Coturnix japonica: one gene and its partner. The protein of the gene in region 1 interacts with the protein of each later gene in a pairwise test. Links are inferred from orthologs where the notes say so. Each region holds a gene or a part of one and is shown on either strand. Other genes may lie near its edges.

The links. The genes of interacting proteins can lie anywhere in the genome.
Region 2: the proteins of TLE1 (region 1) and FOXA2 interact in a two-hybrid assay, tested with the Homo sapiens proteins (2 studies listed by BioGRID and IntAct). The link is inferred for Coturnix japonica from reciprocal best matches to the Homo sapiens genes TLE1 and FOXA2.

What each region holds. Positions count from the first base shown.
Region 1 is NC_029547.1:35,437,607-35,443,056, reverse strand, and holds part of TLE1 (transducin-like enhancer protein 1), read left to right. Parts: intron 1-1,095; coding exon 1,096-1,149; intron 1,150-2,696; coding exon 2,697-2,849; intron 2,850-3,609; coding exon 3,610-3,754; intron 3,755-4,463; coding exon 4,464-4,654; intron 4,655-5,450. UniProt on the Homo sapiens protein: Transcriptional corepressor that binds to a number of transcription factors. Inhibits NF-kappa-B-regulated gene expression. Inhibits the transcriptional activation mediated by FOXA2, and by CTNNB1 and TCF family members in Wnt signaling.
Region 2 is NC_029518.1:4,399,832-4,405,962, forward strand, and holds FOXA2 (hepatocyte nuclear factor 3-beta), read right to left. Parts: upstream 3,969-6,131; 5' UTR 3,479-3,968; coding exon 3,392-3,478; intron 2,790-3,391; coding exon 1,539-2,789; 3' UTR 809-1,538; downstream 1-808. UniProt on the Homo sapiens protein: Transcription factor that is involved in embryonic development, establishment of tissue-specific gene expression and regulation of gene expression in differentiated tissues.

The DNA.
Region 1 (5,450 bases):
TGACACCACCTGTGGAAGTGGGTTTCTTGGGTTTCTTTCTTTTTTTTCTTTTTTTTTTTTAATATATTTATGCTCTGGAATCAGAGGAAGGAAATTGTGTTTTACTTTGTGAAGTAAATGTCAAAAATAGAGTTTTAGTGTTTTTTCTAGTAATAATTCCAATAACATGAGGGCTGAACTCTAAGTAATGCCTCCTATTTTATGATGTTGGCCCACTACACCAGGGGTGGATGTTGGTCATATGGCAGTAGATTTTGAACCTTCCCACCAATATTCCATTATGTTTCATTGCTCTGTAACAGATAGTAGTGGAGGGATAGACTGACCAAATGCTGTCTGATATGATAATGTGTATGAACCATAGGTGTGGAACTGAAGGTGGAACAAATGGCACCCACTGGCATTTATCGATGCATGTTGAATCTTTATGGAGACAGAACAGTGTATGTGAGCACAGTGTGGTGATGGATGGTGTTTCAGCATTGGCAGCAACAGCAGCATGAAAAAGAAGCCTATATTAGACAACCATGCACAGTTGTCATATCACAAAATGTGTATTTTCAACAGCTCATCTGAGGAAATTGGCAGATGGTGGTGACTGTGTTGAAAAATAGTGTTACGTAGCTGAGAATGTTATCATACATATCATATAGAGTTATCAAACAGTGTTGTACTCTTTGTATCTGTTGTAATTGTTTCTGTTTCCACGGAAATAAATAGGAGGCATTGCTTTTGGAGCAACATACATATTGAAAGATAGGATTAGCACGTGAATGAGTTTCTTCTTTTATTTATCTATTTATTTATTTATTTTGGAGTAATTATAGTAGTAGAGGAGAGTTTTGGATCCTCTTGCACTTACAATGAGACCACCACCATTCAAATAGTTCTACTTTATTTAGATTTTATTACTGAAGCAAAAGTGTTACATTCCTATTTTCGGTATTTGCTGTAATGCCAATAAGTAATGAAAGTCTGTTTGTTTTTCTCTATTAAAAGCAAAAAATACTGGAGTAGATAACACCTCTTTCTTGTTCTCTCTTCCCCTTCTTAACTCTTAATGTACTAATTGAATTATTTATTTCGTTTTGATAGGACAGTGATGGGGACAAGAGTGATGATAACTTGGTTGTTGATGTATCCAATGAGGTAACTTTTTAAAAAATTATTATTGTTTTAATATTGACACAAATGCTGAAGAAAAAATGCTTTTAGATTAAAAAATGAACAGCCAAAAAACAGTGGAATATAGTAAAAATATGGAACAGTCGTCCTTTCTGTTAGTTTCGTTATTCACTATGTCTTCCTCCTAGCTTTACCTGTCTGTGCTCCTAGCTCTTCCTTCCCCTGCTTTATCTAGGTCTCTTCTCTCTGCAGTTATTTTCTAACATTTCACAGCTGTTCTGTAGGGGAGAAAATTGTGGTGAAATGCAGGTGGCTGAAGTTTGCAAACTGCTGTCTTCAAGGGAAAATGGAAAAGAATAAGTATTCTAATATTTAATAGTAGGAATGGCATTGAAACCCCCCCAAAATCACTGGTATTTTGACTGCTTACTCTGAAAGCAGTGTTTTCCATACAGGCATATTAGGATAAATTCAGTGAAAATCAGAATGAAATCAGTCTGCAGCATTTCCTAGTGGCAGTAGCCACTTTGGTTTTTGTTTGTTTGTTTTTTTCCTCCAAGACTGAGATTTGGCTGTGCAGTCAGGAACTGTCTTTTTCCATTCCTTTGTCTTTTATTTCACACAACAAAAATATGTATTCCTGACCATGCTGGAAAAATTTCTACACTGTGAAAAGCACAGGAAAAAATACTGGAGGGAATGTCTAGAGTAGCTCCAAAAGTTCAAATGATTTCATCCAGGTAGAAAAATGTGTATCCTGTTAATAATTTCAGCAGTCATTTCAGAAGTCCTGGTTAAAATGAAACTGCTCAGTGATCAGCCAGTGGACTGATTGCCTTCTAGTGTGGACTGCTTAATTCCTGCTGCTATGCTGATGAACCAGAGGACCTTGAAGAACCTACAGAGCTGATGGTAGCTTGCTGGGCAGCCTGTTTTTGAATAGACTAAATGCAGAAAGTGCCTCTGTAAGACAGAGGGAAAATCACTTGAGAGATCATTGCAGTTTTTATGTAGATTTAAGTAGTGAAGTAATGCAATTTAGGATAAACTCTATAGATATAATTTATATACTTTTATGTAAAATCTGCATCTCTCTTGTTTTCTGAAGAAAGAGATGAGCAAGGTGTGTATTCCCTAAAAAATGAAATTAAATGAATGTATTCCTATTGAAATGATCATTTTCACTAGCAGCACATAAAGAACACATGCAGAAGGAGTACCAGCTCATTGCAATTATTGTAGGTCTTTTCATATCAGTTGTAATGTATGCCTGTGATCTGTGTAAACCTAAGTACAAACTAAGGCAAGTTCTGCACTTGGAATCAATTTATGATATGTGTTTATGGTTTATGTAGTGTAGAATGAGTCCAGATTGCACTTACTTATGTCTATAATTGATGAAAGGAATTAAGGGCTTTTTTTGTTTGTTTCTGTAGATATGGAAAGCAAACTACTGCTTCATTCTGATATACTGTTTGAGTTCTTGGGTTTTTTTTTCCCAGACTGATTTAGTTTGTGTTGAGTACCAGCTCTTAACGGTTCTTTGCTGCTTGTCCTTTCCATTCTTTTAGGATCCTTCATCTCCACGGGCAAGTCCTACTCATTCACCACGTGAAAATGGTATAGATAAAAGCCGCTTGCTGAAGAAAGATGCTTCTAGCAGTCCAGCATCTACAGCCTCTTCAGGAAGTTCCACTTCTCTCAAATCCAAAGAAATGAGTTTGGTGAGTATTATAAGCAGCCTGTTCTCTAGGAAATGTTCTTTTTCCTTCAAGGTCTAACTCTCCATTCTTCAGCAACTGCTTTTTTACAGAAAGTGTACGGGTTGAAGAATCTGAAGTACTGTTCTTCTACACCACTCCAGTACCATTGAGCTTTTTTCCTCAGGAATAATTTCTTCTTCAGGATGATTTCCTGTATCTCCCGCATTTCTATCAAATAAGCTGTGAATTTATTAGAAAACATAAGATTAACTTAAAAACATTATTGTTTTTTAATAGATCTGAATGTAGTCACCAAGATGTTCGCCAGGCTTTTATTAAATTCTTCTAAATGAACTGCTGCTGATAAATTTTTCAAGGAATAACTAACTTGATAAGATTTTATGTCACTGTATTTTGATTCTTTGATTCACGGTGTCCAGTAATCATGATTTCTCACTAAAATAAAGTGGTGATGCATACTGTGCTGTCCTGAAAAAAAATAAAATCTCTCTCTTTTTTTTTTTTTTTTTTGTCAGTGGAAGAAAGAAATAACGTGTCTTAGCTTTCTTTTTTTTTTTTGTTCATCCCTATTTCTGGCAGAAATCAAAAGGTCAGCATTTTTTTTCTTCGCAAGTTAATGTTGTCAGCATTGCATGGATTTATGAAAATTGGCTGAGGGACTAGGTAGTAGGTGCCCAGCATCCCAGCTGCTGTTGTGATAAATTGCGTAATATGGCTTGGATTAAAAATAATACTAATTTATTTTGTTTTATGATACTAGCATGAAAAAGCCAGCACGCCTGTTCTGAAATCTAGCACACCGACTCCTCGAAGTGATGTGCCAACTCCAGGCACTAGTGCAACTCCAGGACTTCGTCCAGGCCTTGGCAAGCCTCCAACAATGGACCCTCTGGTTAACCAGGCTGGTAATGCATTACCTCTCAAGTTTTTATGATTCTAAGATTAGTATCTTATTTAAATATGCATTTCCATGCAAATGTTAACCAAGAGCTTTTTTCTTGATGCGAAGAGAGGACCTGATGAAATGCAGATGTCTGGATTATCAAGAGTTTGAATGTCTTTCTATCTTTCGTTATTCTTTGTTTACTTTGTTCTTTATCTTTTTGGAAATAGTCTGGAGACTGCATGTAGTGAAAGATTTCTGAGAAGCTTCTAGTACTTAGTCTGAATGCAATTGCTTTTCCAGCTCTTTGTTTGAATCTACTAATATTTGCTGCAGTGTAAATCTTGACAAATGCAGAGGGAAGTTTACTTTTGCTATTCAGGCTGGTACAGCAGAGTTCCTTCAGACATGAGCTATGTAAACCATGTCTGTCAGCTTTAGTGCTTAATTTGGCAAAGGAGAGATTAATGTAAACAGGGAAATATTACAGAAATGGAAATGGGCAATGCTAGAAGAGGTTGTTAGAAGTAATCACTGAATTCAGATCTCAGTAAAGCTTATTTACAGTGATTGAAAAGAGGTGGTACTAGTGATAAATTATGGGAATGTTTCTTAGCTCTGTGTGTGCATGTTTGTAAGGGGAAGGTTATGTACTATAAGCTGAAATAAAAGGTCTTTTGCCCTGTGTGCAGGGAGATCCAATAAAACTACTTGCTTTCATTGTTCCACAGCTGCAGGTTTGCGCACACCTTTGGCTGTACAAGGGCCATACCCTGCTCCATTTGGAATGGTGCCTCATGCTGGCATGAATGGAGAACTAACCAGTCCAGGGGCAGCATACGCCAGCCTGCACAACATGTCACCCCAGATGAGTGCGGCTGCCGCAGCAGCTGCCGTGGTTGCCTATGGAAGATCTCCTATGGTAGGCCACATATTGCATGCAATCTCAGTTGTGTGAGTTGCAGGTCACTAAAGAAAGCTACATGCTTCATTTAGCACAGTTGAATTCCCAAGTTATAACAGCGCCAGAGGCTTGGCTGCTTCACTGTGTGTTTCACTTTACTTTGTGGATGGAGAAACAAATTTCTACCTTGAGAACAAAGAATCTCAGTGTACTGGTGTATGTTTCTTTTTTTCTCATCAGTGCTTTGTCTAATTAATAAATGCCAAACTGTTTTCTTATTCTTTAAATGAAAAAAACAGTTTCAATAGATACAAATGTCTTCACTGGTGCTGTGAACATCTGCTTTTCTTTTGCTGTACAAGATTTGTGATCTGTACAGACACACCAAATTAATTTCAAAGTGTGTAAAAGTCTTTTTTTTAATCTACTTCTCTCTCCTTGTATTGTGTTCTTTTTGAGTAAATTATCATGAAGAATCTTAAAGCTCTGTGATAAGGTGTGTTACAAGTAGTTGCTGTTGTGGATGTAGTCACTAAATGCAGCATAGCTGTCATTGCTGCTATTGATCAGAACAACCTGGGAGCCTGATCCCACAAATATGTGCACAGACCTATCCACTTGTGAGTTTGCAAGATTGGTCTTAAGCTTGTTATGTTCTGTAGATGGGACTACTTTCTTAAACTGGAAAAATTGTTACATGAAAATGTGGAAATCCTGAACTGCATATGCACTTCTTAAAGTAAGAATTTTCTCTTGAGTATAGCATTCAAATGGAAGAAGCGTGTTTGGTTCAGAGTTTCTCTCTGGTTTATTT
Region 2 (6,131 bases), on another chromosome or scaffold:
TCCTTCCCCAAAGCGCTGTCACCCCGCGCCCGTGCTTGCTCCGTCCCCGCGGGAGCCTTTTATGTGCTAATGAAACACATTGCACGCCTCGCTTCACAACGTGTGTGTCCTTGCCGTATAGAGACAGACAGATTGCTGCCTGGATCCCCGGTTTGTTTTTGGGAGGGTTTTTTTTTTCATTGTTTTTTCTTTCTTTTTTTTTTTTTCCCTCGTTCACCTCCCCCTTTCCCTGTTCCCTTTTCTCTACCCGTGGACAAAGCGGAATTTTAAGAAGGATTTGAATGTTATTTAGGAAAGTAACATCTCCGACGGCTGTAAATGCGTGGGAAAAACAACAAGTGGTTGTGAAAACGGGCACGGAAAGAGGGGAAGAAATGACAGCACCGCTCTCGGATAGGTGCCGCTGCCCGGGCGGTGGGGCTGCGAGCGGACGGGAGGGCTTTAGGGCAGAAAGAAGCAGCGCTTCTTTGGACGTACCGCTCCCGGCAGGGCCGTCCTCCCGACCCTCATCGTTAACACCGTTCAGACTACTCTCTTTTAGCGGCCCCAGACGTGCGCTTTGGTCCCCGACGGCAGAGCAAGCGCGGCCGCGCATCCCGCTGCCCATGGTTTAATCTCAAAGCGTACACCCCTCCCGGGACGGCTTTTCATCGTTGACCCCCCCCCGAGTCCCCCCCCCCCGAGCTGGGTGCGCTTCGGCCAGTCCTTCCGAGGGCAGAAAAGGGGCCGGGAGAGGCACGGCCGCACCGTCGGGGCCGCACGGCCGGGGAGAGGAGGGCGAATCCCGGCAGAACAGAGATGCAGGGGGAAAAAAACCGCCAATAACACTTTAATAGAGTTCTGTGGCAACCTGGCTAGTCGCTACCAGTATACACATTTATAAGCCATAAATAAAGCATACAGAAACGATAAATTAATCAGATCCAAGTAGTTTACTCTCCCGGTAACATCAAGCGTTTGTTTCAATTACAACAATCTATCCTGACTTGGTTTGTTGTATTTTTTTTTTCCTTTTTTTCTTTCTTTTTTTTTTTTTTTTCCCCTTCCCCTTTGTACAATTTTACAAGGCTTCCCATCCTCAGATCCCAAACTCGTATTGGGTTTCCCACCGAACGAGGGCTTCATTTTCTTTGCGTCCGTTTTTGTCTGCTTGGGGTTTGGTTATTTCTTTTTCCTCCCCTTTTCCTCATCACTTCCACACCAAAAAAATAGATATATTTCCACCTCCTTGCAACGACGACAACGAAAAAAATAAGAAACCAGCCCCAAGAGGAAAAACCCCTCTCCCTTACACCCCCCTCCCACCAAACCGAACCACCCCGCAAGGCAAACCGAGGGGACTGCAGGGTTAGGGTTAGGGGTGGCACGCGAGGTGCGCCCACTGCTCCCCAAGTGGATGCAACCACCTGGAGCCAGCAAGGAACAAAACAAAAGTAGATAGATAGCTATATGGGTAGGTACCGTGCTCAGCAGCGCTCACAGTCCATCGCGCTGCTAGGGGGATCGCGCGGGGTGAGGGGGTTTTTCCCCCTTTGCCTTTAGGAGGAGTTCATGATGGGCCGGGAATACACACCTTGGTAGTAAGAAGTCTCTCCGGCCAAAGGGGAGGACTCCAATGGGTTTTTGTTCGTTACCGGCCCCATGGCCAGGCTGGCGGGCACGGGTGAGGCGTAGCCCGAGTAGTGCATCACCTGCTCGTAGGCCTTGAGGTCCATTTTGTGCGAGGGGTGGTGGTGGTGGTGAGGGTGGTGGTGGTGCTGCTGCTCGGAGGACGACATCAGGTTGTTGATGGAGAACGGGTGGTTGAAGGCGTAGTGGTGCTCGGGCTTGAGGTGGGCGTCATGAGGAAGCCCGGCGTGTGGCGGGGCCAGCAGGTGCTGTGCTGGAGAGGCCGCTGATGGCTCCCCGGGGCTCGGCCCTGCCGCCGCACCCTTCAGCTCGGCCAGGGCGCGCTTGTGGTCCCGGCACGGTGAGGCGCTCGCTGGTGACTCAGCACCCGCTGAGCCCTCGGAGCCCCCCGAGGAGCTGCCCTCCCCTAGGGGTTGGCTGGGGGGCTGCCCCGGCCCCTTCTTGCCCCCACCGCCGTCCTTGGTCGCCAGCTGCTTCTCACACTTGAAGCGTTTCTGGCGCCGCAGGTAGCAGCCGTTTTCAAACATGTTGCCCGAGTCGGGGTGCAGCGTCCAGAAGGAGCCTTTGCCTGGCTTATCTGGGGAGCGGGGCACCTTGAGGAAGCAGTCGTTGAAGGAAAGTGAGTGGCGGATGCTGTTCTGCCAGCGCTGTTGGTTCTGGCGGTAGAAGGGGAAGAGGTCCATGATCCACTGGTAGATCTCGCTCAGGGTCAGCATCTTGTTGGGTGACTGCTGGATGGCCATGGTGATGAGCGAGATGTAGGAGTAAGGGGGCTTGGCGTGAGTGTAGCTCCGCCGGTACGTCTTGGGGTCCCGCGAGCGGTTGAGGTTGGATTGCCCATAGATGGGGCTCATAGAATTCATGTTGGTGTAAGGGGCCAGGGCGTTCATAGAGCCCGCTTGGCCTCCCATGGGGCTCATGCTGGGGCTCAGGTGGGCACCCATCCCTGCCACGCCAGCCGAGCCCATGCCGGCCATGGCCCCCGCACCTGGGGACATGCCGGCGAGTGAAGGGCTCATGCCCGTGTTGGCGTAGGACATGTTCATGGAGGTGGCTGCTGTCATGTTGGCTGTGGTGCTCATGGCCGACATGGTCATGTAGGTGTTCATGGTGTTCATGGAGCCCAGCCCCGAGTTCATGTTGCTCACCGAGGAGTAGCTCTGCATAGACAAACGAGAAAGATAAGGGAGATTTGGGGGGATTGGAAATGAAAGCAGTTCCCAAGTAAGGCACCCCCAGCCCAGCCCAAGGGAGTTCCTGAAGCTCTGGAGCTGCGGGGTGGGAAGGGTTAAACCCCCGGGGGGCATCGGCGGGAGATGGGGGGTGTTGAATCGCTCATTAACGGAAAAAAAAAAAAAAAGAAAGAAAAAAGAAAAAAAAAAAAAAGAAAAAAAAACCGAAAGAAAGAAAAGAAAGAAAGAAAAAAGCCCAAATTTAGATATTGAAAAAGTCGGGATCTCACCGAGCTCAGAGGATCCAAGCTGGAGGAAAAGAGACAATCCCGAGCAAAGAGAGAAAAATACCTCGGGTGGGGGGTGGGGGGGAGGGTAGGGGGAAAGGAAAAAACGCGACTCGCTGCCCGGCAGCCCCGCTCTCTCCCGGGGGCTGGGGGGGGCGGCCCCGCTGCCCCCGTCGCCCCCGCTGTCCCCCAGCCGCAGTTCAGCGCCTCGAGAATATTTAGCGACAAAGTTGAGGTTTCCCCCCAGTATCCCGGCGCGGGGATCGGGCCGCCCGGCTTCCAACACCCCCCCCACCCCCTTACCTCGGGCTCCCCGTAGTAGTTGCTCCAGTCCGTGTGCTCATGGCCTTCCATTTTCACCGCTCCCAGCATACTGGAAGTGGAGTGCATGGCAGTTTAAAATTTAACAGACACAACAAACGACGACGCAGAGAGAGAGAGAGAGCAATCCCCCCCCCCAAAAAAAAAAAAAAATCGCCAGCCCTCCCTCCCCTCTGCCGCGCTCCCTCCGTCGGAGCCGCTGGAGGAGGAGGAAGAGGAGGGAGGGAGGAAGGGAGGGGGCACCGCCGGGGCCGGGGTTTTTTTTCGCCGCCGCTCCTTGGGTGGGTTTCCGCAGAGCTTCGCGGTGAAGAGTCGCCCGGAGGCGATGGAGGAGCCGGAGGAGGAGGAGGAGGAGGAGGAGGAGGAGGAGGGAGGAGGGAGGAGGGAGGAAGAAGAGGAGGAGGGAGGAAGAGGAGTACAAGTGCTGCAGTGACGTGGGTGCCCGAGTGATATAGCACGGAGCGGCCAGGCGAGCCTCCAATCCCCAGGTCCTCGGCTGCCCATTTGAATAATCAGCTCACACCTAGGCGGGAGCGGCTGCTCCGCGGCTCCCGACCCGCACCCCGGAGCGACTCCCGGAACCACCCCGCGTCTCCCCCCGCACCCCCCCTCAACAGGAGGGCTCCTACGGGACCCCCATTCCAGCCGCACTCCGATGGAAGGTGTCCCCTCGCAAAGCCCAAACAGAGCGGTGCCCCGATCCCCCTCCGACGGCCGCAGCCCCCCGAGCCACACTCACCTTTCTCCCCGCGGCTGCTCAGCCTCAGGCCACCTTCCTCCCGGCCGTGGCCCGGCTCTGCCTCATGCCTTCCCGCGGCTCTGCCTCAGGTACCTACAACAATTTCGTAACTAAAACAAACAGGAAGGGCAGGGGAAGGCGGGAGCTGGGAGAGGGGAGCGCGGCGGGGCCGGGCTCAGCGCCGTCGGGGAACACGCAGCCAGAGCGGGGCCCGATGGGCGCCGTCGGGGAAGCGTCGCTCCGCACCCACGGACGGATCCACGGACGCTGCTCGAGTGTAGCCGTCGGGGAGCGGCTGCCTCCGTCCCTCCCTCCTTCCTTCTCTCCTTCCCTCCTTCCAGGGAGGAAGCGCAGCCCCCTGGGGTGTCCGACACCTCCCGGCCCCGCAGTGTTGCCTCCCCCCCCGCCCAGTGGGGGACACGGAGCTGCCGCCCTCCCCGTGCCGTGCGCCCTGTACCTACCTGCCCGGGCGCCAGGCGGGGCGGCGCGGCACCGACCTTTTCCCTCGGTTATTTATTTGGGTTCTCTCCCGGCATTAACCCCAGCACAGCTTGGCGAGGTTAACGGGAGCTTTTAAACATTAACACAAACCCAACAGCCGGGGGGCTTCGCCGGAGGGCTTTTCCCTTCGCCCCAACGCCTTCGGGAGCCGTCTCCAAACGAAACTGGCTCCTATCGCGATAGCTGCGGGGATAGAAGCAGCCCGCCTCCTCCCGCCCATATTTAGGGGAGATGAGGGCTGGCTGGAGGAGAAGGGAGAGACCCCAGGGGAGCTGCCCTCAGGGCGGGGACGCGCCGGGAAAAGGGGGATTTGCCCCCAAAAAAGGGGGGGTGGGGTGGAGGGGTGGGAGGCCGGGCAGGGCTGTCCCGAGGTCTAAGAGCGGTGGCGCGGCGCCCCCTGTCGCCTGCTGTCCCCGGTACCGGAGGGCCGGGGGTGGAGGGGCACCCCGCCTGTCCCCCGCCTGTACCCGGGGGTCCCCCCGACGGCGGAGGTCACCCTCCAGTGCATCACTTGGGAGCATCACCAGCGATCATATGTGATGGGTAAGGCCGAGTCTTCCCGCTGTACCAGCACCGTGTGGTCCTAAATGTGAGCCCCGTTGGCATCCCGTGGGGTCTTCCACATCCCATCCCTTATTTCACTAGTCAAACTGTGATGCCGCTACCCTTGGGCAGCCCAATAAAATCAACACCTTAAGAGAAGAGGGAAGGAAGCAGTGAAGAAGATAGTCTTGCCTTGTAGAGAAACATCTTTTTAAATACCCCAGATGATCGAAATTGAAAATGTTCAGCCTCTTCTTGTTTAAACAGACCCACTTGGGCTCCAGAGAAATGCGGCGGCCATTTAAAAAATGACTTCTTCTCTTTAATATTTAAGTAATATTTATTTTAAATTTAATTTTTAAATTACGTTTCTATTTGCATTGGGAGCCATGCCTGGAAGAGCTGGTGTTCCCTTCCTGGAGGCAAGAGACAGTGGCTGGGCCACCATGGGCAGTATCTGCCACCATTCTGGGCCACCTCCACTGCTGGTGACAAGCACATCTCCTGCTCTTCTTGCTGGGTGAAGGCATTTATCTGCAAAGGAGAATAAAAAATCACCCCCCTTTCACCTCTCCCTATTACAACTGTACCTTATTCTTGACAACAAACAGAGTAATTATCTCTCTTCTACTGATAATTATCATAATTAATCCAATATAATGAACTCTCCCAATTGCCCTGTTGTTTCAAACTAAATGCGTCCGTTGTTTTTTCCCCTGTAGCTGAGGAACTGCAAGACAGGAGCACTCAATGCCCACAGAAGCATTTTAATAACAGGATGGAGAAGGAGCTCACATCACGTCTGTGGATGGTGGCATTTTCCCCCATGAGATCCCTGGAAGTAACCAAAGGACTCTGTGGGGCTGAGGGCATCTCAAGTAGCTCACACTCAGGCAGGCAGAACAGACCTTGGGGTCACTGTTAGTGCCATATTTCTGT